Linked DNA regions of Ovis aries. The protein of the gene in region 3 interacts with the protein of the main gene of each other region in a pairwise test. Links are inferred from orthologs where the notes say so. Each region holds a gene or a part of one and is shown on either strand. Other genes may lie near its edges.

Region 1 (3,500 bases), on a different chromosome or scaffold from region 3:
TCCTTGAAAAGTTGGTCACTTTTCACTGCTCAAACATGTGGTATCTGTATATTTTTAGGTATATTACGCAAACACTATATAGTACACTATTATATATGTATATTAATTTACTATTTATGCATGTAAAGCATTATATTCCACACATATATAAATGTAAATTCTAGTGTTTTCTTGAAACCTCCATGCTTTCCTACACTAGCATCCTGTATCATGCATCGAACCTGGACTGGCAATACGTTTCACATATAATAATATACATGTTTCAATGCCATTCTCCCAAATTATCCCACCCTCGCCCTCTCCCACAGAGTCCAAAAGACCATTCTATACATCTGTGTCTCTTTGCTGTCTCACATACAGGGTTACCATTACCATCTTTCTAAATTCCATATATATGCATTAGTACACTGTATCGGTGTTTTTCTTTCTGGCTTACTATACTCTGTATAATAGGCTCCGGTTTCATCCACCTCATTAGAACTGATTCAAATGTATTCTTTTTTAATGGTTGAGTAATATTCCATTGTGTATATGCAGCACAGCTTTCTTATCCATTCGTCTGCCGATGGACATCTAGGTTGCTTTCATGTCCTAGCTATTATAAACAGTGCTGCGATGAACACTGGGGTACACATGTCTCTTTCAATTCTGATTTCCTCGGTGTGTATGCCCAGCTTCTTACACTATTTTTATTCCTCAACTCCAGTTAGGAGATGGCAAACGTTCACCATGAACAAACCTCAAAAAATAAAAATATGAATAATTTGAAGCTGGCTAAGTGAGGATTCAAAAACCTGCCTAGAACTATAAAGAATTTTTTTTAATCTTAAGTGGGAAATATAAAAATCAGCAGTAGGTAGAGAATTGCCCCTAAGTAAGTAGTGTAATAATTTCCAACATCACCCAACAGAGCTTTAAAAGTGAACCACATACTATATTAGATTTGCAAAAAATTATATACTTTGTAAAGCTATGGACAAATAGGAACTTTCTTCACTGAGTGAAAATTGACACAAACCCTATAAAAGCCATCACGCAGTAAATTACTGAACTGTGACTCAGAAATCTTACCTCCAGGGATTCTCCTTCAGACACTATAGCATAGACAGGAAGTGATGGTTATACGAGGTTATCACTGCACTGTTTGTAACAGCATTGTAAGATTAAAACATTGAAATTCCTTAAATCTCCATTAATAAAGCAATAATTAAACTTTACATGGAATATTTTCATGGATTTTATTTTAAACCATGTGACTAGGTTAGGCATTCAAACATTTTTTTTTTTAAGTGAGCAATACAGGTCAAATCTCTAACTACATGTGTGCTCTAAGGGTGACGGGTGGTGGTGATGGTGGATATTTCAGGGTCAAAAATAGGCTATAATTATCTTTGCTGAATATTATAACCAATAAAACAAAATCGAGGAAAGACATACCAGAATTCAAGGCCGTACTAAATCACACAAGAAAAACAAAGAAACAAACAAACCCTGAACACATGTAATTAAAAGTTAAAAAAAAACAACAACAACAACTTACTGGGATCCTTTCATCTTCCCGACGTCTTCGACCTCTGAAGAGAGTTCTCCTTTTAACAATGATAAAAGGGGGTGAGGGGTGGGGGAGGAAGGAGAACTCATTAAGTTTCTTCAAATGTGTATGTTCTATCAAAGATGGGTGAATTTTTACTTCCTAAATCTCCTTTATTATTAAAGGATATATATTCTTCTGAAGGGATCCTAAACTGATCTACAGAAAATGTCACCTACCACCACCACCACCGCTAAGTAAACTGGTCCTATTTTCATTATCAGTGCTCCCTCCACATCAGGAGCATATCAGGATTCAGTTTTTTTGTTTAGGTAGGGTAGACAATAAATATATAACCCAATTCCCACAGTTCACATGTTGCCAGAAATTAAAACTATGATGGCTTAAGATACTAATCTTTCCTTAGTGAACTGTAAAGAACTTCAGAATAACTTTTATAAACCTCTGACCCAGAGTTATATTCTTTATAGGGATTCTAAATTTCTTAATTATGAAAAACTAGTAACCCATATTATGTGAACAAAAAAAATTTTAGCATAACTATATATGAAAAATTAAATTTTAAAAATCACTAGATCATGGACTTCTAATATTCATATTATGATTAAAGAATTTTCATATACATTATTTCCATATTTATTACCATATTTCCTTACCTGCCCCTGCCATAGTCCCCATTCTGTTCCATCTGCAAAGTGGGAGTTTCTTTTGGAAGGTAGCTTTGTTCCTGATGCCCTGTTACTGCAGGATTATGTCGTTCAGTTGCAAAGTTCCTTGAACCAGATCTGGTCAATGGTCCATCCCCCAACGACACAGTGCCCTCTGTTGAATGTTCTGAACCACCTGACCTAAAATGAGGCTTCACACTGTAAGAAACATAAGGCCATATACATGAAAGAATAAATTAAGACAGAAAAATCCTTCCTCTTAATGGCAGAAATTCTTAATAGGCCAAGTTAAAAACTGCCTTCTGCTGTATTCTGATTTTCCATAAACTAGGTTGGACACAGAAGCATTATATTGTAAAAACGTAAACCCTTTAATGTCTCAGATATATTATTTTTAAAAGGCAAAGAATTTTTTCATTAAAAAAGCTGTCTGGAGCGATCTGGAAATGATCCAAAGTTCTTCAAGATTAAGCTACTTCCACCTCAAAATTCAGGATATACCTAGGATTTCAGCTAACTTCTTTAGCACAAGATACAGTTTTGACATATCTAAATCAGCCAGACTAGAAGCTTATTGAATCTATGCCATATATTCTCAATAGGGCAATAAAACCCCCAAAGAGAGTAAGAACTAGAATAAACAGACATACAATAATCTCTAGCATTAAACTATCATATGAGGGAATTGGAGGAAGAGTCTAAAAAGGCTCTTCAGGGGACTGAAAGTATTATCCTCCAATTAAAAATAAAATTAGAAAAAAAAAATCCACCTTCCAATGCAGGGGACAGGGGTTCAATCCCTGGTTGGGGAACTAAGATGCTATAAGCTATGGGACAACTAAGCCTGCAAGCCATTACAACTATTTAGCCCACGTGCTCCAGAGCCTGCAGGCCACATGTGCCACAACTAGAGAAAGCTTGGGGCCGCAAGAAAGACCCACTACAGTCAAAATTAAACTAAATGAATAAAGTTTATTTTTTAAAAAGTGAGAATATTTCAAGTAAGCTCAAGTAACTGAGGATCTTGGCTCTACAGCAGATTAAAAAAGGAAGTACTAGATTTTCATTTAGCCCCTTCCCTGCAGTTTATACATTCCATTTTTTTAGTCTATTTTCATAGTTATTCAGCTACCCTACTAACTCTTTAGAAAATGTAACAAATAAAGGTACTACTACTAAAACAAGCATAAATACCAGGCTATAAATTTTAGCTAAGTCTCACATATGATACTTTTCCAGAAAATTACTTATATGATACAAAATAGATTCTGAATAGCAAT
Region 2 (3,367 bases), on a different chromosome or scaffold from region 3:
TAGCTGAGAAAAATTCTAGGGCTACTGGGGACCTAACTAGTTAAAACTTTGGTCAAGAGGAATCAGTAAGAGTCTTATCTTTATCCTTAAGGGACATAGATTTTTTTAAAATTATTTTTAACTGGAGAATAATCACTTTACGATGTTGTGTTCATTTCTGCCATACATCAATATGAATCAACCAAAGGTATATATATGTCCTGTCCCTCTTGAACCTCCCCTTCCCACCCCGACCCACCCCTCTAGATTGTCACAAAGCACCAGGTTGAGCTCCCTGAATCATATAGCAACTAGGGACCAATCTTTTAAGAGGTTGCAAAATGTGTTTTAGAGGATGGGCCTAGAGCTTCCTTAAGACACTTCACTGTTTGGTCAAAAGACGACCAAAAAAACATTTCAAAAATATTTTGAAAGCTGTATTATTTACATCTCATAACACAAAACAGTAAAGAAAACTCAATGTTCTTTTTTTGACACTGACCTAATAATTAAGAAAAAAGTATTATGAATTTAGCTTTTATTCAAAATTAAATAAGCAAAAGCAAAATTTTTAAGAAACTTTTTACAAATTACTTACATAAAAGAAAGTTAAGAGGGACAGTCACAAGTCTGCAACAAATAATTACAAAAGTATCTAGGGCAGCATGAATACAGACCATGTCACAGCATAGTGACCTAACTGTGATATGAATAAGGCATAACTAACATTGGCACCAAGACCAGGATTTTAAAAAAAAAAAACATACTTTAAAAGCTTAGTTCTACATTAAGCTTCTTCTCTTCCCTCAGATCCTTAATGGGTTTATACTATGTAATTTTTTTAAACAAACACATCATGTCAAACTATAAATTACACAGATGGGCAGTTAATGTGAAAAGCCCCCCCCTAAAATGTACAAATGAACTGGTACTGAACTGAGTTCTCCATTTACCTTTATGTACAGTTAAGTGTAAACCATATTTTCACAGTTTTAAGTGTTTTATGAATAGATGCACAGTACCAAGTCAGGTTTGCAGTTGTTCCTGAAAACTGGCTCTAGGTTCTGCATCCGATGCCCATCGGCTATTGGGATGCAAGTATTTACATAAATAAGAAACTGTGTCATAGTCAATGGTCAAGACGGTTCAGCAAGAGCGGTATTTCCGACAAAGAGTGATACTCAATACCATAGCTTAAATACTTGTGCAAAGTAAGCATTAGGACAGAGAAATCTGAGGCAAATTCAATTTGCAAAAACTTGTATCGCTACTGTTGTAAACTTGGGCAATAAATGACCCTCGGCAAGTACTGCTCTCTATGGCTTTTTTTTTGTTTTTTTAAATTTTAAAGCCAGAGAAAATGCACTCATACTACCCACACGTGCAGAGACACACACACGCACACACCCACCCCACATACACACACAGTTCTCATTTCATTTAGAGTATGGTACATAGTGCAACTTCATCACAATGTAGAGGTTCAACACACATTCAGTGTGTGTTTTTCTGTGCAAGTTCTTAGTGGTCTAAATCCTAGTTGAAGGTATTCGTTTGCAGAACCACATGACTCAGGAGGCTGAAGAAGAAGAAAAAAAAAAAAACAACAACAAAAAAACAGTTTCCTTACGTTTCTCAAACCAGCACTGGATGTGCAAAGGCAGCGGACAACCTGGCCGTCACCCCAGCCAGATTAGGGTAATTTTAGAGGAGGATCCAAGCAGTTGGTTACTTAGATTGGTCTCTGGAAAAATAAGTCAGTATATGCTGTATCTTTGTCAACCGTTCTTTCAAAGACTTCATTGACAAAACCGACAGCTGATAGCGGGGGTCAACGGGAAGGACAGCAAGAAGCCACCAACACCAGGCCGGTCCATTAGGGATTGCCTAAGAAGAACCCACATTTTATAATGTTAACAAAACAAGTAGTTATGTAGGCCCAGAAGCAACATACCACCACCAAGCTAATCTGGATTGAGCAGTTCACAGTGTCAGATTCTCTTTCTAAATAAAATCTCCCTACCGTTTTCCACCGTGGCTGTAGCAACTTCCATTCCCACCAACGTTCCCTCTTCTCTACTCTCTCTCCAACATTTGTTATTTGTGGCCTTTTTAAATGACCTGTGTGAGGTAGTAGTCTTTATTTCCTCATTGACCGATTGGTTTTTTAGTAGCATACTGTTCAGTTTCTATTTAATCATTCTCACTTCTTTTCCTGTAGTTGATTTCTGATTTCTATACTCTTTATTTAGTGAATGAGGTTAGCTCTGTGTCCTAGTATGTGCACTTGAAGAGAATGAACTTTTTTGGATGTCTATTTAGAAAAGACTTTTCATTATTTCTTTTAGGATAGGTTTAGTAATTGCTGTATTCTTTTACTTTTTGCTTTTCTATGAAGTTGTCTTTCCTTCTATTCTAAATGATAATCTTGCTGGGTCGAGTATCCTAGGTTGCAGGTTCTTCCTTTTCAGCGCTTCCAATATATCTTGCCACTCCTTTCTGGCCTGCAGTGTTTCTGTAGAGAAACCAGTTGACAGCCAAATGGGGGTGGGGGGAGGGTCCCTTGTAATTAACTGTTTTTCTCTTGTTACCTTTAGAATCCTCACACTTTTGTCATTTTAATTATAACATGTCTTGGTGTAGGTTTGTTTGGGATCCTCTGTGCTTCCTGTACCTGGAGATGTGTTTCCTTCTTTAGATTTGCAAAGTTTTCAGTCATAATTTCTTCAAAGACATTTTTGATCCCCTTTTCTCTTTCATTCCCGTCTGAAATCCCTATTATGCATAGACTGGCCCACTTTATTTTATCCCATAGGGATCTTATAGTGCCCTTTTTTTTTTCATTTGGTTTCCTGTCTGCTGTTTTGATTGGGTAATTTCCATTATTCTGTCTTCCAGAACACTTATTCTTTTCTTATTCTCTCTTCATGATTCATTCTGCTATTCATTGCCTTCAGCTTAGCTTTCATCTCAGCAAGTGAGTTTCCTAATTTTTCTCAGCTCCTCTTTATAGTTTCTAGTTCCTTCCTAGAACAATCTGCATTTATGTTGCTAGCCCTTCTTAATTCCTTCAATTATTTTCACTGCCTCCTTTTTGAACCTGCTGTCTACTAGACTGAAGAGGCCTGTATTTCATTGTTCTCTCGGGGAATTCTCTTGGGTCTGTTTACTGGGAGTGCCTCCTCTGCGTCTTCATTTTACTTACATTTCTCTTACTCTGGGTTTAGAAGAAACAAGTAAGCACTGTAGTCTCGGACGGCTATTTACAAGTGGGAGCACCCCTGCACAGCTTGTGTGGGTTTAATAGATTTTGGCCAGAGTGCTGTTTGGTTTGGACGCCTGCTGCCTCTTTCCTCAGGATGCCTGGTCGTCGCCCCTCACTGGGGGC
Region 3 (3,937 bases):
GGGCGAGAGGGGAGATGAGGGAGGGAGAGTGGGCAGGAGGCCCAGGGGAGCCTTCGTGATGCCCAGGAGTGGTGATGCCTATCGGTGAAGCATGCCAGAGTCATAACTCTCTACTTTGCAATCGGCTGTGGGGCACTCAGGGGGCTTCCCAGGGGGCTCAGGGGTGAAGAATCCGCCTGCCAAGGCAGGAAACGTGAGTTTAATTCCTGGGTCGGGAAGATTCCCTAGAGAAGGAAATGGCAACCCACTCCAGCATTCTTGCCTGGGAAATCCCTTGGACAGAGGAGCCTGGTGGGCTACAGTCCATGGGGTCACAGAGAGTCAGACACGACTGAGCAGCTACACAGCAACATGGGGCACTCTATTCATCCACCACCCACCCAACTATTTATCTACACGATTGTACAGCCACACATACACCATCATATACAATGCACACGATTGTACATGCATACATTTGCGGGCACACACATGGTCACACACATATATCCACATTCTTCCAGCCAATCATATGTACATACCTACTATCATGTAACATACAAATATACTCCTATACATTCATCTGTCCACCGAATCATTCATATATGCATGCAGACATACAGTCATACCTACGCACATTCACCAGCCAATCATAAGCACACACATAACAGTCATGCCTAAGCACAGTTGTAAGTATATACACACAATAATGGGCTTCCCTGGGGGCTCGGATGATAAGGAATCTGCCCGCAATGCAGAAGACCCGGCTTTGGTCAAGGGAATGGCTACCCACTCCAGTGTTCTTGCCTGGAGAATTCCATGGACAGAGGAGCCTGGTGGGCTACAGTCAGTGGGATCGCAGAGTCCGACATGATTGAGAGGCTGACACTTTCACCTCACATACAATGATACATACTTTCATCTTTCCGATCTTATGTACATATGTACACACATTATCATACAAACACATACACATCCATATATACAATCATATATGCATCATACATATATACAATCAAACACACATATACATTTACCCATCCATGCATCCATCCATCCATCCATCCGTTCAGTTATTTAATAAACATGTATTCTTCTACTCCTTTGGGGACACACCAATGAAGCTGACATTCTACTTGAGAGAATGAAAGAAAGAAAGTTGCTCAGTCGTGTCTGACTCTTTGCAACCCCATGGACTGTAGCCTACCAGGCTCTTTCGTCCATGGGATTTTCCAGGCAAGAATACTGGAGTGGGTGGTCATTTCCTTCTCCAAGGGATCTTCCCGACCCAGGGATTGAACCTGGGTCTCCCGCATTGTAGGCAGACGCTTTACTATCTGAGCCACCAGGGAAGTCTTGAGAGAGACAGCATATAAATAAATAGTAAGGAAGGAAATCACATAGAATTTTAGAAAGTGATAAATGCTATGGGAGGACCAATTGAGCAGAGTGAGGGGGAGTAGCAGAGTTGGGATGGCGGGAAAAAGCTGCAGCTTCTAATGCCAAGGGCGGTGGAGGTCTCATTGACTGGCAAGGTGACTAGATTGGTTGATAAACAAAGACTTGAACAGGGTGTAGGGAATATATCTTCCGGGTAGAGGGAACAAAGAGTGTTCTTGGTGGGAATGCTGAAGGAAGGACTGGGGCAGTGCTCATGGAGTAGAATGAGAGGGGATAGGCATGCCAGATAGGAAGCCAGCGAAATTACGGGGATGAGAGATTAACAGGACACTTCAGCCCTTCCTCTGTGACCTCTCCCTCTTTCCTCCGCTCTGGATCCCAGGGACCAGAACACCCCACCTGAACCCTGGACTCAGGCAGGTTGATCTTCAGAGCCACCTCCTCACGGGCATACACATCCGGGTACTGAGTCTTGGCAAACAGGGCTTCCAGCTCTTCCAGCTGGCTTCGCGTGAAGGTGGTCCGTTCCCGCCGTTGCTTTCTCGGGGCGCCTGGGGTGAGGACAGAAAAACAGGACTGCTGGGTGACCTGAGACCCCATTCTCTGCATCTGCTGACGCAAGGTCCTGAGAAGGCATGGGATGCTAACAAGCCTCTTCTGGGCGTTCATCTGCCCAAACTAAGGGGGTGCTGATTCCCTCAACTTCTAGACCTCACTCTGTCCCCCTGGGAAACGGGTTCTCCCTTTGCGTATCCTTAGGGGGGACTCTTGCCTCGCCCCGAGGAGAACTGGCTTTACCTGTGTAAGGAGGTATCTGAGTTTGGTTTTCATCCCCTTTCTAAAATTCCTTCTGCACTAAGACATTCACTTGAAACATGACATTTGGGATATCCAGCCGTTTGGGGATATCCAGCCTATAAAAGAGGCAGGACCGTAATGGTCAACTTAACAAAAGGATAATACCATCAAAAATAGAACGCTTCCTTCGCTAAGAAATAAAGCATCGCTGACAGATGGGAATTCCTCTGGGTCCCCCTTCCAGATGGTTTCCCTCCCTCACCCGAAAGGGAACCACTGTCCTAAATTTCTATGAAGATCCACACGCTCTCCTGCATCCCTAAGAGATGTGGGGTGTGCTTTGCATTTACAGATGAGCCCGTTTGGCTGGTGTATGGCCCTGATGTCATCCTTGTAAGTACCCATCCGCTTCCTGAGGGCAAGGGACTCCAGAAGGTGGGGGCCAGCAGGGGGTGGGGGGGCAGGGAGGATGACTGTACTCACTTGGGTAGGACACAGCTGGGTGCATCAGATCCACACTGGGGCCACTCAGGGCCAAGGCGTTGACGGAATAGTGGGGCCCCGGGTTCATATACGCCATCATGATCTTCGGGGATGCTGGGGCCCAGGTCAGGGGGCCTGCGAGAAAAGGATGGGTGCTCACAAACTCCCCAGTTCATCACCGCCTCAGTCTCTTCCTAGATATGTGACCTTGGGCAACTTATCCCCCCAGTCTGTGCCTGGGTTTCCTCACCTATAAAACAGCCCTCTGCTTAAGGTCGTCAAAGCATCACTGGGACTCTATAAAGCCAAGATCAAAAGCTGTAAGGAGCATTCTAAATGTAAGCTCCTATTCCTACTCTATCCTTTAAAAGATCTTCTGACCAACTCCCTTGTCCAAGACCTTTCCCCCACCCCGTGTGTTAGCGTCAGTCACTCAGTCGTGTCCGGCTCTTTGCAACACGTGGACTGTAGCCCTCCAGGCTCCTCTGTCCATGGGATTGTCCAGGCAAGAACACTAGAGCGGGTTGCCGTGGCCTTCTCCAGGAGATCTTCCCAACCCCTAGGACCTCAAAAAAGATGTTCAGCCTCACACAGAATCATGGCAAAGTAGGGAAACTGGTTGTCTCAGTCTGCCGGGGATAGAGAGCTTTCTAGGGGTATGGGATTTCAGTGACAAATCTGAAAACTCCCAGACAAATCAGGATGGTTAGTGACCCCAAGGGAGTCACAGTCAAATGACAGCAAGTAATGATCTCCCATGACTATTTTTGACCCCATCAAGTTGGCAAAGATCAAAGAGGCTTGGTAACTCCAGGGATGGCCTCAGAACAGGCTACTTGTGTCAGACGGGCGACAGTGTGGATGGAACAAACTGCAAACATTTATCAAAGAAAAATGCCGTCTTTCCTTGGTCCCAGCAATTCACCTTCAAGGTGCCTCAGCCACCTCATCAGAAGATGGGAACCAACAATACAGCTTACATCTTTAGGTCGATGTGAGGGTCAAATGAATTATTGTGCATCTGATACTTAAAATAGCACCTGACTCGCAGCAAATGCTACAAACCTGTGGTGGTTATTATTATCTGCAAGCAGACGTTTGCACAGACTTTATGCTCGGATACTTCTTATTGGAGTATAGTTCACTTACAATGTCGTGTTAGTTTCTGGTACGCAGCAAAGTGATTCAGTTCTGTATTTCTTTAACGTTAGTTTTCACTACAGGTTATTACCAGAGCGTGAATAGAGTTCCCTGCGCCATACAGTAGGTCTTTGCT
Region 4 (3,957 bases), about 42 Mb from region 3:
TCCAAACCAGGAGAGGGTGAGGGTTGTGCCTGCACATGGAAGTCAGGTCCCTGTACGAAGAGCTGTACAAGGGCCGTCCCTAGACCAAGTGGAGCAGCCCCCAGTCAAAGGCATCTTCCTTAAGCAGAGAGGCCCAGAGAAAATCTGCCTTCTGGCATTTGAGGTCCCAGCACAACAAAAAGTTCCCCAAAACCCAATAGGAAACCTGCACATTTTCAAAAGCAGTCCCACGGGGGAATTCCCTGGTGGTCCAGAGGTCAGGACACCATGCTTTCACTGCTATGGGCCCAGGTTCAATCCCTGGTTGAGGAACAAAAATTCCATAAGCCACCATGTGAGTGTGACCAAAAAATCAGCCCCCCAAACTCATGAGTTCTCTGCCTGCTTCCTCTGGCCTTAGACAACAATAATTCCAGTATTTGAAGAGTACTTGCCACACAAAGCAAGAAGCCCGTCTTTTTAAAAAGAGGAAAAGAACAGTGACACAACAGAACACAAGAAATCAGAGAACAAAAGGGAACCAAAAAAACCCTTACTAGTATCCCCAAAGTCAAGGAGAAAAATGCATTCATCAAACAATACATTATTATGAAAAAAGAACATTATAAATCCTTAGAAATTAAACTTTGATTGTGGAAATGAAAAATTTTTAAGTAGGACTGGAGGATAAATGTTTCTATCCCAGAAACAAGAATAAGATGACACAGGAAGAAGATAATGACAGAAGATTCAGAGGGTTAATCCAAGATGTCCATCATCAAACTAACAGAAACTCCTAAAACAGAAGAGTAAAAGCAGAGCTGGAGAAGGAAATAGCAACCCACTCCAGTATTCTTGCCTGGAGAGTCCCACGGACAGAGAAGCCTGGTAGGCTACAGTCCGTGGGGCCACAAGAGTCGGACAACTTAGCGACTAAACCACCACCAAAAGCAGAGCAGAAGACATTCTCAAATGACACAAGACTTTCAGATTCCAGAGCTGAAGGACAAGTCCCCAGAGTCAGAAAGCAGTCAGAGTAGGACTCTACACAGTTTTCGGGAATTCCGGAAATGTCTTAATACCAAAGAGGATCCTGAAGAGTTATCCAAAAGGAATAAGGCTACTTGGCAGTAGGTTCTCACTGAAATAAAGGAAGTCAAGATTAAAACACGAGACCTGAACAAACTCAGTTGTATATAGTAAAAAAAAAAATGTCAAGATGATACTGGTGCTGGTCTAAGGAGTAAACAATCCAGATTAGAAAAAGACCACCACAAGGCTGGGGAGAGGGGGATGGTAAGAGAGATTTAGTGCCATCCTTCAGAATCTAAAACAAGGTAAAGTGGGACTTCCCTAGCAGTCCAGTGGTTGAGACTCCATGCTTCCATTGCAGGGGGAACAGGTTCAATCCCCAGAGAACTAAGATCCCACATGCCTCGGGGAATAGTTAAAAAAATAATAAAAGGTAAAGAGTCAACAGGAACAAAAAGTGCAAAGAAAAAGAAAGGCCATCACAAACAACAGAAAAAAGCAAAAACCCGTATAACAGGGGAAATAGACTACCTAGCTGTGAATATCTGCTTAGTTATAAACAATCTGAACTGAACATAGTGATCAGGGGATAGAGGTGAGACGCGATATGAAAAAGTCAGTCATCCTATCTGTTAACAGCAAGTCAGGAATGTATAAAACCAGTAAAGTGCCAGCTTATTATTTATAGCAACGAAGAACTTCCTCATGAAACAGCAAAAATATAAAGTCTTGGAGGAGTGGAACTGGGAGGTGGGGTGGGGGCTGTTGTTTTATAGTCTTCCATTGACACTTTGCGGCATTACTTTATTAAAGTATCAAACGTGTGCAGTTTTTTCAGAACATGGACTTGGGACAGATCGCATTCAAACCTGGCCGTGTGACCCAGGGAAGCCCCTTCCCTCCGTGGGCCGCAGCCACCTCCCTGTCCCCCTGACCCGACCGCCGCGATGAGAAGCGCTGGAAACGCCGGCGGGACTGGCCGCAGCACTGGACCCACACACGGCATCAGCTTTCTCAAAATTGGAGCCGTGACAGGACCCGACGTCCCAGGAGGAAACGCTTATTTTAATCGCCAGACAAGGGGGGGCAAAGGAGCTTTAAACACACGGAGTTAACGTTACCGGCGGCTCGAAGATTCCGAGCACCGGGCAGGGGTCCCCAGGGCCGCTCCTCACTCGGGCCCGCCGCCCGCCCAGCGAGAACAGCCGCCTCCCGCACTTCCGCCCGCAGCCGCTGTCCCCGCGTCCGCGGCCGCCGGCCTCCCGGGGGGGAGCCGCCTAGCCGCCTGCCAGCCCGTGGCCTCACGACCCGGAGCGGCTACACCGCAGCAACAGCAGCGCGACCCCACCCCGCCCGCCCGCGGCCGGACGCTGCTCTTGCGGGCCTGGTCCCGGAAGGGAGGCCCGCTCCGCGACGGACCCCGCGCACCGCGACGGCGGGGGCGGCGGGCCGGGGGATGGGCGGCCGGAGCCAGGTGCGGGTGCGCTGAGGCGCGGCGGGCAGGCGGCTTGACAGGGCTGAGACGGGGGCGCACAGGACGGCGGGCCGTTGGGGCCGGTGGCCGTGTCGGGGGGGCGGGGGCGGCGGCGCGGGCGCCGCGGCCGGAGGAGGGCGCAGGGAGGAGGGAGGAGGGGAGATCTCGCTCTCGCTCTCGCCCCGCGGGAAGGGGGAGGTGGAGACGCGACCGGCTGCGGGAGCTGCAATTACCGTGTGGGCTGCGGAATTCTCGTGGTGTTTGTCGGGGAGATGCGATAATGGCGTCCGTCCTCGCGAGAGAAGCCGCCGCTCTGCGCAGGCGCCGCGAGTCCCTCCCCGCGGCCCTCCGCCCTGCACCATCTGCGCAGGCTCACCGGGAGGAGGAACGGGGACGGGGCAGGGCGCGAGGGCGGGGCCTGCTGCTCGGAATCTCCCGCCCGCGCTGGGCTGGCGCCGACGACCGCCGGGCATGCGCACGGGTCCTGCATCCTCGCCACAGATTGGCCTCCAAACTTCTTACTTCTCTGTCACGCGTTCAGGCTTCTCACTAGCCCCTGAAAAGTCGCGTTGGTGGACCGTTCGGGGAATTTGCATTTTCTTTGAGGCCTAATGAATAGGAATTAGCGCCATAGACGACTACATGTCCCGGAGGGCCCTGCGCAAGCCTCGAGCAGTGCATTCTGGGACTCGTGGTTCCTGCGTCTGCGCGAAGCCTGCTGGTACTTGTGGTCCCATCCCCCCCGACCCGTGCCAGCGCATGGAATGCTGGGACTTGTAGTTGAGGTGTGCAAGGCCGCTGCACCGGGCGCGGCTCTGGCCACTGCTGCAGCGGGGTTCCCCTGAGTAGCAGGCGAGCTCAGGGGTTCCCAGGTTCGTCACAGGTTCAAAGACACGCTCCTAGAAAAATATATATTAATTATATGTGATATATATTTTATGTGTAATTGATGTTATGTATTGTGATGTTTGTTATGTATCCTTAGAAAAGGCAGAGAGGAACCAGAGATCAAATTGCCAACATCTGTTGGATCATACAAAAAGCAAGAGAATTCCAGAAGAATATCTACTTCTCCTTCATTGTCTATGCTAAAACTTTTGACTGTGTGGATCACAACAAACTGGAAAATTCTTATTAAGTGACAGTGAAGTCCCTCAGTCGTGTCCGACTCTTTGCAACCCGTGGACTGTAGCCCACCAAGCTCCTCCGTCCATGGGATTCTCCAGGCAAGAATACTGGAGTGGGTTGCCATTTCCTTCTCCAGGGGATCTTCCCAACCCAGGGATGAAACCCAGCTCTCCCACATTGCCGGTAGACGCTTTAACCTCTGCACCACCAGGGAAGCCCTTAAATACAAGAATACAGTCTCTCAGAAAACCTCCTATAGAGACACAGAACTTCAGATCCAGGTACTAACATCAAAGATTTCAAGGGAGGAAAGGAAGCCAGGTTGAAAGAAGAAGGGGGAGGAG
Region 5 (4,134 bases), on a different chromosome or scaffold from region 3:
GCGCTCTTACAAAATGTCACTCATTGTGTGTGTGTCCCCTTCTGACAACTGGCTATAAACTGATGCTTCTATACCACTTCCTACAAAAATGGTACAGGTATTAGTTTTAGCTTTCACACTGCCCACAGACAATAGGCGCAATATTGTCCCTATTTAACTGAATAGTAAACGGAGGCCAGAGAGCTTCATCGACTTGCCCAAAGTCACACAGCTAGTAAGATCTGGCTGTAGGATTTGAGCCCACACAGTTTGACTCCAGAGCCTGTCCTCCTTACCACCAGGTTATACCACTTCTTGGTGTATTCACATGTTACAAATATTTTTAAGGTAAGTATTAAAGTGCCAGGGCAGAAAGTGGTTAGAAAGTTCTTCACTGATATACACTTGAGCCTGTATCTTTTCTTCCATCCAGTGGTTTTTCTTCCAAAGCTCTTGGCTTGATACCCAGTACAACATGAGAGAGACAAGAACAGCTTCCCAAAGTAGCCTTCCAGGTTTGCATGTATACGTGCTGAGTCACTCAGCCGTGTCCAACTCTTTGCCACCCCATGGACTGTAGCCCCCAGGCTCCTCTGTCCATGGGATTCTCCAGGCAAGAATACTAGAGTGGATGGCCATACCCTCCTCCAGGGGACCTTCCCTACCCAGGGACTGAACCTGCGTCTCTCTCTAATGTCTCCTGCACCAGCAGGCAGGTTCTTTACCTCTACTGCCACCTGGGAAGCCCAGCCTTCCAGGTTTACAAGGGTATTATGATGACAGCCTGGATATAAGGTAAACCCGAGCACTTGGTGGAGCCTGCTAGGTCCTGGTCCTCTCTCCAGAGCAATATGGATTGTCATTCTCCTACACAAAGAGCTGCCTGGCTAGAATAATGTGATATCTAAAAGAATGAACACCGCTTTCCTATTCATGTTTGGTGGTCCTTGTCCATATTATGCATTATTTATACTGCGATGTCTTTCTTGTTATAAGTTTAATATAAAATTACCCTTTCCTGCACACTCAACTATTTACCAGCTACTCTTTATGGCAGGGGTCTGCAAACTAGGGACCATGTGCCTAATTCAGCCTCCCACTTGTTTTAGTACAGCTCACAAACTAAGAATGATTTTGACATTTTTTAATGATTGAGGGGACAAATCAAAAGAATTATATGTTGTGACACGTGAAAAGTCACACGAAATCCAAATTTTGCTATCCACGATGAAGTGGTATTAGAACACGGCCATGTACATTTGTCTACGTTTGGTCTGTTTTCACACTATAGTGTCCTAAACATGCACAGGATGAGAGTTTAAGACCGTTATCTAATTCCACTGCTTAATGACAAGTGAGTGACCCTAGACGAAGGCAAATTCAGGATGTCACAATGTGACAAATTCAATGTCACACTGTGAGTGTAGCCCTTTCTCCTTGGGTTAGCCGGAGCAGGACCCTCGTTCTCCAACCCAGAGCACCTGCCTCTTTAGAGACGGCACACTCACTCTGTTTAAGGACTAATCTCTCAGAGGATAAGTTCTTCACATTTACATGGGAAGTCTAGAAAATGCTTGTGAGGGAACCCATCCTTCCCTTATTTGGATATGGCTCTTTTCTAAAATACAAGAACAGATTCCCCCCAGCCCCCGTGGGGATTTACACGGACAGAGGTCAGTGGGAAGGAGATGCCGCAGCTGTACTGTGGTCCACTTTCACAGAATGGTGCAGTGTGACCCTAAAGTAGGCAGGCTTGAAAACAAACAGATTTCCATGAATGTGTACCCCAAAGTACTTATCTCTTTGAGAGGCTACCCAACGTTGCTAATGAATTGCTGTCCACCTGAACAGCTGTATGGCACATAATAGATGCTGAATAAAGGTCAAGTCTCTCTCACCCCTTGTACCAGGGCATTGCCAGAAGTCCACCTCTGCAAATGTTTCCAGGTCATTCCTAATTCTCCTTCCACCTCCACCCAGGACTTTAAAGTCACTCTGCAGTTTTTGCTCCCAACCACTGTGACCAAGCATAATGGCCCAGCCCATTCTGGGGACTTGGCTTGAGACACCTTCTTTCTGTTAAAAACTAAAACAAATTCGCCCTAAATTCACCCTAAACAGATGACACTGATTTCCTCCTCACTAGAGAAGTAAGCTCAGAAGTTGTGTCCAAAACCTGGATTCCAGAGGCTGTCTGGGCGCCTGCGACCTGGTTAGCGCGACTGCAAAGCCCCTCAAGAGCCACGCTTCATCCTAGCAGCCAGGATAAATGGCCCAAGTCCTGCTGTTTAAGATTCGGTCGCTGCAATTTATGGTCCTATCTCAGTTCCGCTGCGTGAGAAGAGGTGGCATCTGCATTCACCAAGATGCCCCTCCACCTTTCTAGTGGATGTCGAAGAATGGACAAGCAAGAGTCAGCGGATTCCTACCTCAGTTAAAAGAAAGTGGGGGACGCGGTGTCAGGCTCCCGGCGGCCAGACGACCTGAAACGTGGAGCCTAATTGACGGTTCCTGCTGCTTTCTGTGTTTTCAAAAGGGTTCGAGGAAACAGGTGGGAGAAGACAATCTCTAGCCCCAGCTCCGCCATTTGTGGAGTCCCTGCACATTGGCGGGCTCTCAGGGATGTGTTTTTTTGGAGGGAGGAGGAGGGTAGGGCGGCCTGTCCACAGGCTCTGCCAAGACATCCCTCCTCTTTGGAGGGAGAGCGGCTCGCGCAGCGGGTTTCACGCACCTGCGGCATCTGCGGGTCGTTGATGTCCCAGCTGAGCTTCATCCCGTAGGACCACGCGCAGTCCGCCAGCTGCCCCTCCGCCGCCGGCATCCGGTTCTCCTCGCGGGCGCTCCCTGCCAAGTGTCCTGAAAGACACAAGAAAAACAAACCAACCTAGAGCAGCCCAAGGTTGTTTTCCCGCTGTTTTAAAAGCAAGTGGAGAGAGAGACAGACAGAGAGGCCGATTTAGAAATGCAGAAGCGGCGGACAAGGGCTCGGGGCGGTTCGGGTGGAGCCCTGTTCTTGGTGGCAGTGCTGAAAAGTCTCCACCTGGAGCACAGCGCGGGCGCCAGGCAGCTGCCTGCTCGTTTATAAAGGTGCTCCCCCCACCCCCGCCCCGCGGCCCCGCGCGCTGTGCTCCGCCTTTCCTCGCTCCCCGCCCGCCCGCTCCCACCCTCCAGGGACCTGCAGGGCCGGTTCCCCACTTCCAGGCAGGGCGAGGGACGGAGGGGAGGTGGACCTGAGGACTCAAGGTGACGGGAAACTGAAGCCTAGACGGGCCAGAGTCGGGGGAGGTTGAAATGTCTAGTTAAAGTTGAAACTCATGTTCATTTTCCTAACTGCGCCCCACCTCTGGGGTTTCCTACTGGATCTAGAGAGAGGCTTTTGAGACAGAACCTTTCCAGCAAAATGCCCAAGAGGTAATACTCAGTCCCCAGGCAGTTCGGGAACCACCTCTAAACGCCTGGGCGGCCGCGCGCCCTTGTCCGAGAAGATGCGCGCCTACTAGCTTTGGGGCGCGTTCTTTTCGGGGATTTTGTTCCGGCTGATGTTGCTGTTCAGTCGCTCAGTCGTGTCCGACTCCCTGAGACCCCATGGACTGCAGCATGCCAGGCTTCCCTATCCTTCACCATCTCCCAGAGCTTGCTCAAACATGTCCACTGAGTCGGTGGTGCCATCCAGCCATCTCGTCCTCTGTCGTCCCCTTCTTCTCCGGCCTCTGAGTCTTTTCTAATGAGTCAGTTCTTCGCATCAGGTAGGAAGGGGGAAGGGGAAGGAGGGGGGGAACTCTGCGGCCCCCAAGCGCCCCAAACCTGTATTTTCTCTGCCGCCTTGGCTACTTCTGAGCCTGTTTTCTTTCTGCTAGGAAAAGGATCTGAGGCTCGGAGATTTCTCAGTCGCCATCCACATGAAACGACCCTTTTAAAAAATAGTATTTTTTTTTCCTCCCTAACCGCGTGGAAATCGTCGTGGAAATATCACAACAAAATCGTATTTACACCCATTGCGTCTGCAGAGGCTCTGGAGACTGGAAGAACCAGGTGAGCGCATAGGGCGCTGTGGGCTTCCCAGGGCTGAGACCAAGCTTTCTTTAGCTGTGCGCCCACTTCCTTAGGGTGATTGGAAGGGCCCAATACAAGGAACCAATGGAAGGGGTTTAAGTT
Region 6 (3,931 bases), on a different chromosome or scaffold from region 3:
TTTGTTCCAAGTTTTCATTTGTTCTGCTTTCCAAATCTGAGCCCTGGGGATAAGTGTAAGTAGCCAGTAAAGAAAAAAGGCAGGGCTGTTGCAGGTAGAGAAAACAGCATGAGCAAATGCACTGAAGTTGATGGTATACTTGGTTTTATTTCAGTGAAAAACTTGAGGTAAAGAATAGCCTCCAATAAGACTGAAGATCAAATCATAAAAGGTTTTGAGTGAGTCTTGGAGGGTGAAAATGTAGTTATATTTTTCATTTTAAGAATTACTATGTACAAAATAAACACTTTGCTAAGCTCTGATATACAGAATTGGTAATTTCTCTATCCTTGGGAAGCTCACAGTACAATGGGAGAGGCAGTCAGGGAGACAAATTATACTACAGTACAATGCCAGTAAAGAAACAAAGTTCCTGAGGGCAGATAGCTTACATTGAGACTGTAGTTTGACTTTTTTGATTAGTTCCATTCAACATTGCTAATCATCCTCAGCCTTACATTACAGGCAAACATCTAGATACCTTGGCAGCTGTTAAGATTAGGATAGCCTAGAGAAACTTGAGGAGAAGGCAATGGCACCCCACTCCAGTACTCTTGCCTGGAAAATCCCATGGACAGAGGAGTCCATGGGGTCGCTGAGGGTCGGACACGACTGAACGACTTCACTTTCACTTTTCATTTTCATGCATTGGAGAAGGAAACGGCACCCCACTCCAGTACTCTCGCCTGGCAAATCCCATGGACGGAGGAGCCTGGTGGGCTGCAGTCCATGAGGTCGCTAAGAGTTGGACACGACTGAGTGACTTCACTTTCACTTTTTACTTTCATGCATTGGAGAAGGAAATGGCAACCCACTCGTGTTCTTGCCTGGAGAATCCCAGGGACGAGGGAGCCTGGTGGGCTGCCATCTCTGGGGTCGCACAGAGTAGGACACAACTGAATCGACTTAGCAGCAGCAGCAGAGAAACCTGAGTCATCACCTGGTTTGACTTCTTTCTGAGCTTCGTCTGCTAGATCTGTGTTCATTGTTTCAACCTTCAGTTTTACGAAAACCAGTGATTTCTCTTTTCTTCCTTACAGGTGTAGAGAATATCTCAGTGGTGGCTACAGGTCCACCTCTGGGCTGGCTGCCATGTATCATGGGCAAATAGCTAGTAAAAGGCCCTCTAATCCCACACAGATGTACCAACAACCTCCGAGGCTTCTCATTGTGCATATTGCTCTACCATCCTGGGCTGATGTCTGCTCCAACCTCTGTGAGGCTCTGCAGAACTTTTTCTCTCTAGCCTGCAGCTTGATGGGCCCCAGCCGCATCCCTCTCTTCAGCTTATACATTGTACAAAACCAGCACGAGTGCATCCTCCCTTTTGTGGTGAGTATATCTATACTTGTTCATTTTATCCTGAAAGCAGAGGTGAGGGTTCTGGAACAGAGATCAGTTATTATTGCTTAAAGCAGTAACTGTGCCCGCTCCCCATACCCATAACTCACAGGCAACACAATGAGAGCCTCATATCATCCTACACACAGGGGATTTGTACTGAAGGAAGAGAACCCCAAAATTACTAATATGAGAGTGTAAATAAGCCATGTCTTGCCCCCCACCTCCACTCCTGAGAGAGAGAAATCTTGGCATTTACAGTCCTTTGGAATGTAAGCAGCTGACCTCTCTCATCCCCCTTGGAAATGTAAGCACAAGGAAATAAATCCCTAAACTTCTTCAGAAGTCTGTGGTTACTCTACCACCCTTTAATTTCTAAAACTTGTCTTTTGACCCAGGTTCTAGTTTTTTGCTCAGAAAGCCCCATCTGTGCGGAAACATGAAAATATTTTTTACACAGGACTCAGGTGAAACTCCCCCTAGTTTCAGAAGGCAAAGGATGGGCCAAGGGCAATGCTTTTACCAAGCTCCCTCACATATAGAAAACTCTTTTCCTCCTCAAACAAACTCAATTTTTTACTTCCTCCCCTTTACAAAGTTCAGAGTCTCAGGGATGGGAAAGACTTCAGTTCAGTTCAGTTCAGTTCAGTTCAGTCGCTCAGTCGTGTCCGACTCTTTGCGACCCCATGAACTGCAGCACGCCAGGCCTCCCTGTCCTGGAGTTCACCCAAACTCATGTCTATCAAGTCGGTGATGCCATGCAGCCATCTCATCTTCTGTCGTGCCCTTCTCCTCCTGTCCCCAATCCCTCCCAGCATCAAAGTCTTTTCCAATGAGTCAGCTCTTTGCATGAGTAGCCAGAGTACTAGAGTTTCAGCTTTAGCATCAGTCCTTCCAAAGAACACCCAGGACTGATTTCCTTTAGGATGGACTGGTTGGATCTCCTTGCAGTCCAAGGGACTCTCAAGAGTCTTCTCCAACACCACTGTTCAAAAGCATCAATTCTTTGGCGCTCAGCTTTCTTTGCAGTCCAACTGTCACATCCATACATGACTACTGGAAAAACGATAGCCTTGACTAGACAGACCTTAGTCGGCAAAGTAATGTCTCTGCTTTTGAATATGCTATCTAGGTTGGTTATAACTTTCCTTCCAAGGAGTAAGCGTCTTTTAATTTCATGGCTGCAGTCACCATCTGCAGTGATTTTGGAGCCCAAAAAAATAAAGTCTGACACTGTTTCCACTGTTTCCACTGTTTCCCCATCTATGTCCCATGAAGTGATGGGACCGATGCCATGATCTTCATTTTCTGAGTGTTGAGCTTTAAGCCAACTTTTTCACTCTCCTCTTTCACCTTCATCAAGAGGCTTTTGAGTTCCTCTTCACTTTCTGCCATAAGGGTGGTGTCATCTGCATATCTGAGGTTATTGATATTTCTCCCAGCAATCTTGATTCCAGCTTGTGCTTCTTCCAGCCCAGCATTTCTCATGATGTACTCTGCATATAAGTTAAATAAGCAGGGTGACAATATACAGCCTTGACATACTCCTTTTCCTATTTGAAACCAGTCTATTGTTCCATGTCCGATTCTAACTGTTGCTTCCTGACCTGCATATAGGTTTCTCAAGAGGCAGGTCAGATGGTCTGGTATTCCCATCTCTTTCAGAATTTCCCACAGTTTATTGTGATCCACACAGTCAAAGGCTTTGGCATAGTCAATAAAGCAGAAATAGATGTTTTTCTGGAACTCTCTTCCTTTTTCCATGATTCGGCAGAAAAATCTCCTGGAGAAGGGAATGGCAACCCACTCCAGTATTCTTTCATCCCCCACCCACCCAAAAGACTTCAGAGATTCTAGTAAATTCCCTTCTTTCCTAAGACAGCCTTGCTGTTGGTATAGTCAGAAAAGAACCAATGGAAAGCCAGGACTTTGATTCCTACCTAGTGTGAATAAGACCTCCTCCCACATAGTGTCCATGAAGCCACATGGTAGCCTGGACTCCCCTCAACCCATTCAACTTTAACAGGGTAACTATTTCACCCCCTCCCTATTGAGGTGGTATTGGAGGCAGCAGAGTGGAGGCCATGTGGGGAGTGGCAATGGGGCATCTTTTTGCCTCCAAGGCAGAGTGGTGTCAGTGAAAGCCTAGTGGGAAGCCAGAAGTTACAGGAGTTTCTTCCTAGTAAAATGCGTAATGGTAATGAAGCTTCTCTATTCCCAGAGTGTCACTGGGGGGCATATGAGGAACCTGAACTTCTACCCCCACCCAGAGATAACAAGACACTCTCCCTTCTGGGATATAATTAGAGACCAAATAGAGTCACACCCCAGTCTGGCAATAATTATGTGGAAACCACTTCCTTCACTGGTGCAGTAACAAAAAAGTCCTGCTAAAACAGAAGATTTAAACAGGATTCATTCTTACAGCATAATACCCAAAATGTCCAGAATACAATAAAAAAAAAAAAAAAACCTCCCATGATTATCAAGAAACAGGAAAATCCAAACTTAAATGACACAACAAACATTGAGATAACACAGATGTTAGAAT
Region 7 (3,500 bases), on a different chromosome or scaffold from region 3:
GGAAATAATCCTGATTTGTGACAGTTGCAGTTCATATTATTGAAAGCTCACATGCAAGGAATAGTCTATTACTTCAAGGAACATAAAAACATAAAGCACAATAGGGTGAAATTTCTTTTAGGATGACCTAAATAGGTTTATAATAATTTAGCTAATAAAGGTATACCACGTTTACATACCTAAAGCTATCATGAAAGGAGGATACAGTAGGCAAAGATCCGTTCTGTAGGTATCATTCACTATCCTCCTATAGAAATGTAAATCATAATATCACTACTTCATATGATTGTACATTTCCCTCCAGAGAGGGCCAGATTTTCCCTATCTGTATATATTTATATCTCTTTTATATTACTTTAACAGACATAAAGGTGAAAACATCAAAGGAAAAAGATGGATAACATGAATGTGACAATAAGCCAATTTATTGAATAAAATTACAGTTAAATATATTTAAATTTTTAAAACTTCATAATAAATTTTAACAGATAAAATTTTTTCTAAAATTAGAAAATCAGTTAGGAAACTAGAAATTATACAAAATATTAATATGTATGTTGAATACCACCCAAAATATTCTGATTAAAGATAACATTTTAAAATTTATTTTACTGAAGTATAGTTGAAATCAGTGTTCATTTCTTCTGTACAGCATAGTGATTCAGTTATATATTCCATTATTGTTTAAAGATAAAATCTTAATTTTCATTTAAACAGTCTGTTTTTCATAAGAATCAAATTTTAATGGAAATATCCATCAAATAAATAATTTAAAGATCTTTATCATTTTAGCATTTATTCCCATATAGTTATTAAAATTCAATAAGCAGATATTTCACTTAACATAAAATATCTTGGGGCACGGTTTACTTACTTTAAAAATGCTAAATTTCATATTTAATTGTCAACCTTCCTAGCTAATAACATGTTACACTATGAATAACTTCTGTTCTAATTACCATGCAAGGGGAAGCAACATGTCTTCTTGGCCCATGTCCTGCACATACTGGAGCAAAGGTCTATAAGGATGATACACTATCAAGCAACAATCCTAGAAACAGTTTAAAAAATGTGTATGTATAAAAACAGATTTATTATAGCACAAAAACCTTATCATTACCCAACTGATTTTTAATAGTATATTTCAAAATGTATTTTTTTTCTAACTCATGCTTGCTTCCCTCTTATTCTCTTAAGCAAGCAGCATGGCAGCCCTAAACTCTACTATAACAGTGAAGGCAGTGCTCTCTCTGGAATATACCTTGGTAAATCGGTTGGCAGTCAGTCAGCATCCATTCCCTTAGAGACTCAAAGTGTCACATCTGCAACACACTGAAACCTCTTATTAGCCTATAAATCCATAATTCCCAACTGGTGGAGCAGAATTCTGCCAAAGACATAATCTATCTTTAAATAACCCCACACATATACACAAACTGTGCAAATAATTTACAGTGGTTTACTGTCCTGACTGGTTTGATTGTAATCCTATTATAGTTACTATAGAACAGAAAACACTTCCCATCCTAAGTAAGATATACAACTGTACAGGCTTCCAAGAGCATACAGGTGATGACGCCACTAGGAACTATGGTTTACCATCACATATTACTCGGATGGTTTTAAAATGCACCTCCCTACAATTATTTCTTTAAATTTATGACTTCACTAAATTTGAAAGTAAGTTTTACTCTATTAATCATAAGGAATAAATATACTTACCATTAATTCTAAAAGATAGAATTCACATTCTAATACCTGTTTGGAAAAGATTATAAATGTCAACATGAAAGCAAATTAATTTGAGCCTTAGTTTAACTTAAGAATGTATAGCTATTAAAAGTTCTAAAATATTTTTAAGAAAACAATAGCTTATGTCAAAATGAATATATGCTATAAAAAATTACTTTTTACACAATGCATGCAACTGTGATTATGAGACATTTTATTTCTTGTAAGGAAAAGCCAGTCTCATATAAGCATTCTTATTACTTGTTTTTATTTAAAATATCCTGTATAAACTTCAGATTTTACAATACACTTTCCACTCAACAAATGCAAAAACACAATTATCTCCACTTAAATATCATTCTTGTTACAAATCAATAATAGAAGAGAGTACTAAAATGAAACAAAAATACAATTTAAAGAGGAAAAAAAAAAAAACCCTTGCAAGGTGGAAAAAGAATATTTCTATTAAAATGGCAATAGAAATTCATCTTTTCCAGACAGCCCCTGACATCAGTATTATTAAAAAAAGCTCCCAATGTGATTTAATGGGTACCCAGGGTTAATAACGACAACTATAAATTATTTTTTTTTATGGTAGAAGCAAGTTAGCTTTAATTTAGAAATAAAGTCCACATTCTCGTACAATTTTAAATTGCCATTTCTAGGAGACTATTCAGTTTATTTTAATATAAAATGGAGGTATAGTTTATATATACAGCTTTGACAAGTAGTTTTATTTTATACAATATACTTACATGGTTCATCTTATAAGGAAATTCCTTTGGAAAGGCATATGAAAATCTAGTTTTCACTGAGAAAACAAACAAAAAAACTTAAACTGAGAAAATGGGGAGTTCATTAACACAAACTTTTTTAATACAGTGTAAAATATTGATGGTAGAGCTAAATCATTTTTAGTAAGAACTCGAGGATGCTTAGAGATGCAGATTTTTCTTCCTTTCTCAGGCAATGGGAAAGACTGAGAGGCAGAAAGCTCTAGGACCCCATCCAAATTACAATTAGAGAGTTTCAATGATATATTTAATATATTAAGACAGGATTCTGCTGCTTAAAAAATTAAGGAAATGGGAAAAAAATCAATGGCTTTTATCATTTCTAAAATCTTTTCAGCTCTAGAATGGTATTGCTATATTCTTTAGTAATTTAGCTTAAAAGGAACAAGAGTTGTATATGTGTTTACAAGTATCTATATATTTGTAAATATATACAGTTGACCGTGGGCTTCCCTGGTGGTTCAGACGGTAAACAATCTGCCTGCAATGTGGGAGATGTGGGTTTAATCCCTGAGTTGGGAAGATCCCCTGGAGGAAGGCCCTGGAGAATCCTCATGGACAGAGGAGCCTGGTGGGCTACAGTCCATGGGGCCACAAAGAGTTGGACACAACTGAGCAACTAAGCACAGCACAGCTGATCCTTGAACAACACAGATATGAACTGTGTCTACACATAAATGGATTTTTCCAGTAAGTAAGTACTATATGAGCCAAGGTTCTATATGCAGATATCTCAACGTAGCAGAGTTGGTGTGCCGATCCCCTATGTTATTCAAGGTAAACTGTATATATAAATTTTAGAAGGATAATACAACCAAAAAATGTTAACAGTGGTTATCTCTGAGATTTAAGGATTTTTACTGATCTGAACATTCTAAACATTTTATAATATGTATTTTTTAATCAAATGATACATTTTAATAAAATCATGAATATACATGCAAAGGTCTCTAGGATTTTCTTTAAAACTACACA

The links.
Region 1: the proteins of CRX (region 3) and LARP4 interact in binary tests that used the Homo sapiens proteins (3 or more experiments, as listed by UniProt). The two-hybrid records come from large-scale screens. The link is inferred for Ovis aries from reciprocal best matches to the Homo sapiens genes CRX and LARP4.
Region 2: the proteins of CRX (region 3) and LONRF1 interact in binary tests that used the Homo sapiens proteins (3 or more experiments, as listed by UniProt). The two-hybrid records come from large-scale screens. The link is inferred for Ovis aries from reciprocal best matches to the Homo sapiens genes CRX and LONRF1.
Region 4: the proteins of CRX (region 3) and BANP interact in binary tests that used the Homo sapiens proteins (3 or more experiments, as listed by UniProt). The two-hybrid records come from large-scale screens. The link is inferred for Ovis aries from reciprocal best matches to the Homo sapiens genes CRX and BANP.
Region 5: the proteins of CRX (region 3) and GCM2 interact in binary tests that used the Homo sapiens proteins (3 or more experiments, as listed by UniProt). The link is inferred for Ovis aries from reciprocal best matches to the Homo sapiens genes CRX and GCM2.
Region 6: the proteins of CRX (region 3) and M1AP interact in binary tests that used the Homo sapiens proteins (3 or more experiments, as listed by UniProt). The two-hybrid records come from large-scale screens. The link is inferred for Ovis aries from reciprocal best matches to the Homo sapiens genes CRX and M1AP.
Region 7: the proteins of CRX (region 3) and CCNC interact in binary tests that used the Homo sapiens proteins (3 or more experiments, as listed by UniProt). The two-hybrid records come from large-scale screens. The link is inferred for Ovis aries from reciprocal best matches to the Homo sapiens genes CRX and CCNC.

The regions. Positions count from the first base shown.
Region 1 is NC_056056.1:135,859,144-135,862,643, forward strand, and holds part of LARP4 (la-related protein 4), read right to left. Parts: intron 2,419-3,500; coding exon 2,209-2,418; intron 1,590-2,208; coding exon 1,541-1,589; intron 1-1,540. UniProt on the Homo sapiens protein: RNA binding protein that binds to the poly-A tract of mRNA molecules. Associates with the 40S ribosomal subunit and with polysomes. Plays a role in the regulation of mRNA translation.
Region 2 is NC_056079.1:23,438,124-23,441,490, reverse strand, and holds the end of LONRF1 (LON peptidase N-terminal domain and RING finger protein 1), read right to left. Parts: intron 1,867-3,367; coding exon 1,708-1,866; 3' UTR 501-1,707; downstream 1-500.
Region 3 is NC_056067.1:54,473,051-54,476,987, reverse strand, and holds the start of CRX (cone-rod homeobox protein), read right to left. Parts: upstream 2,801-3,937; 5' UTR 2,762-2,800; coding exon 2,662-2,761; intron 1,932-2,661; coding exon 1,780-1,931; intron 1-1,779. UniProt on the Homo sapiens protein: Transcription factor that binds and transactivates the sequence 5'-TAATC[CA]-3' which is found upstream of several photoreceptor-specific genes, including the opsin genes.
Region 4 is NC_056067.1:12,929,398-12,933,354, reverse strand, and holds the start of BANP (protein BANP), read right to left. Parts: upstream 2,801-3,957; 5' UTR 2,133-2,800; intron 1-2,132. UniProt on the Homo sapiens protein: Controls V(D)J recombination during T-cell development by repressing T-cell receptor (TCR) beta enhancer function. Binds to scaffold/matrix attachment region beta (S/MARbeta), an ATC-rich DNA sequence located upstream of the TCR beta enhancer.
Region 5 is NC_056073.1:44,530,351-44,534,484, reverse strand, and holds the start of GCM2 (chorion-specific transcription factor GCMb), read right to left. Parts: upstream 2,801-4,134; coding exon 2,711-2,800; intron 1-2,710. UniProt on the Homo sapiens protein: Transcription factor that binds specific sequences on gene promoters and activate their transcription. Through the regulation of gene transcription, may play a role in parathyroid gland development.
Region 6 is NC_056056.1:96,481,242-96,485,172, reverse strand, and holds the start of M1AP (meiosis 1 arrest protein), read left to right. Parts: upstream 1-1,131; coding exon 1,132-1,371; intron 1,372-3,931. UniProt on the Homo sapiens protein: Required for meiosis I progression during spermatogenesis.
Region 7 is NC_056061.1:37,546,097-37,549,596, reverse strand, and holds part of CCNC (cyclin-C), read right to left. Parts: intron 2,543-3,500; coding exon 2,487-2,542; intron 1,759-2,486; coding exon 1,723-1,758; intron 1,052-1,722; coding exon 960-1,051; intron 248-959; coding exon 180-247; intron 1-179. UniProt on the Homo sapiens protein: Component of the Mediator complex, a coactivator involved in regulated gene transcription of nearly all RNA polymerase II-dependent genes.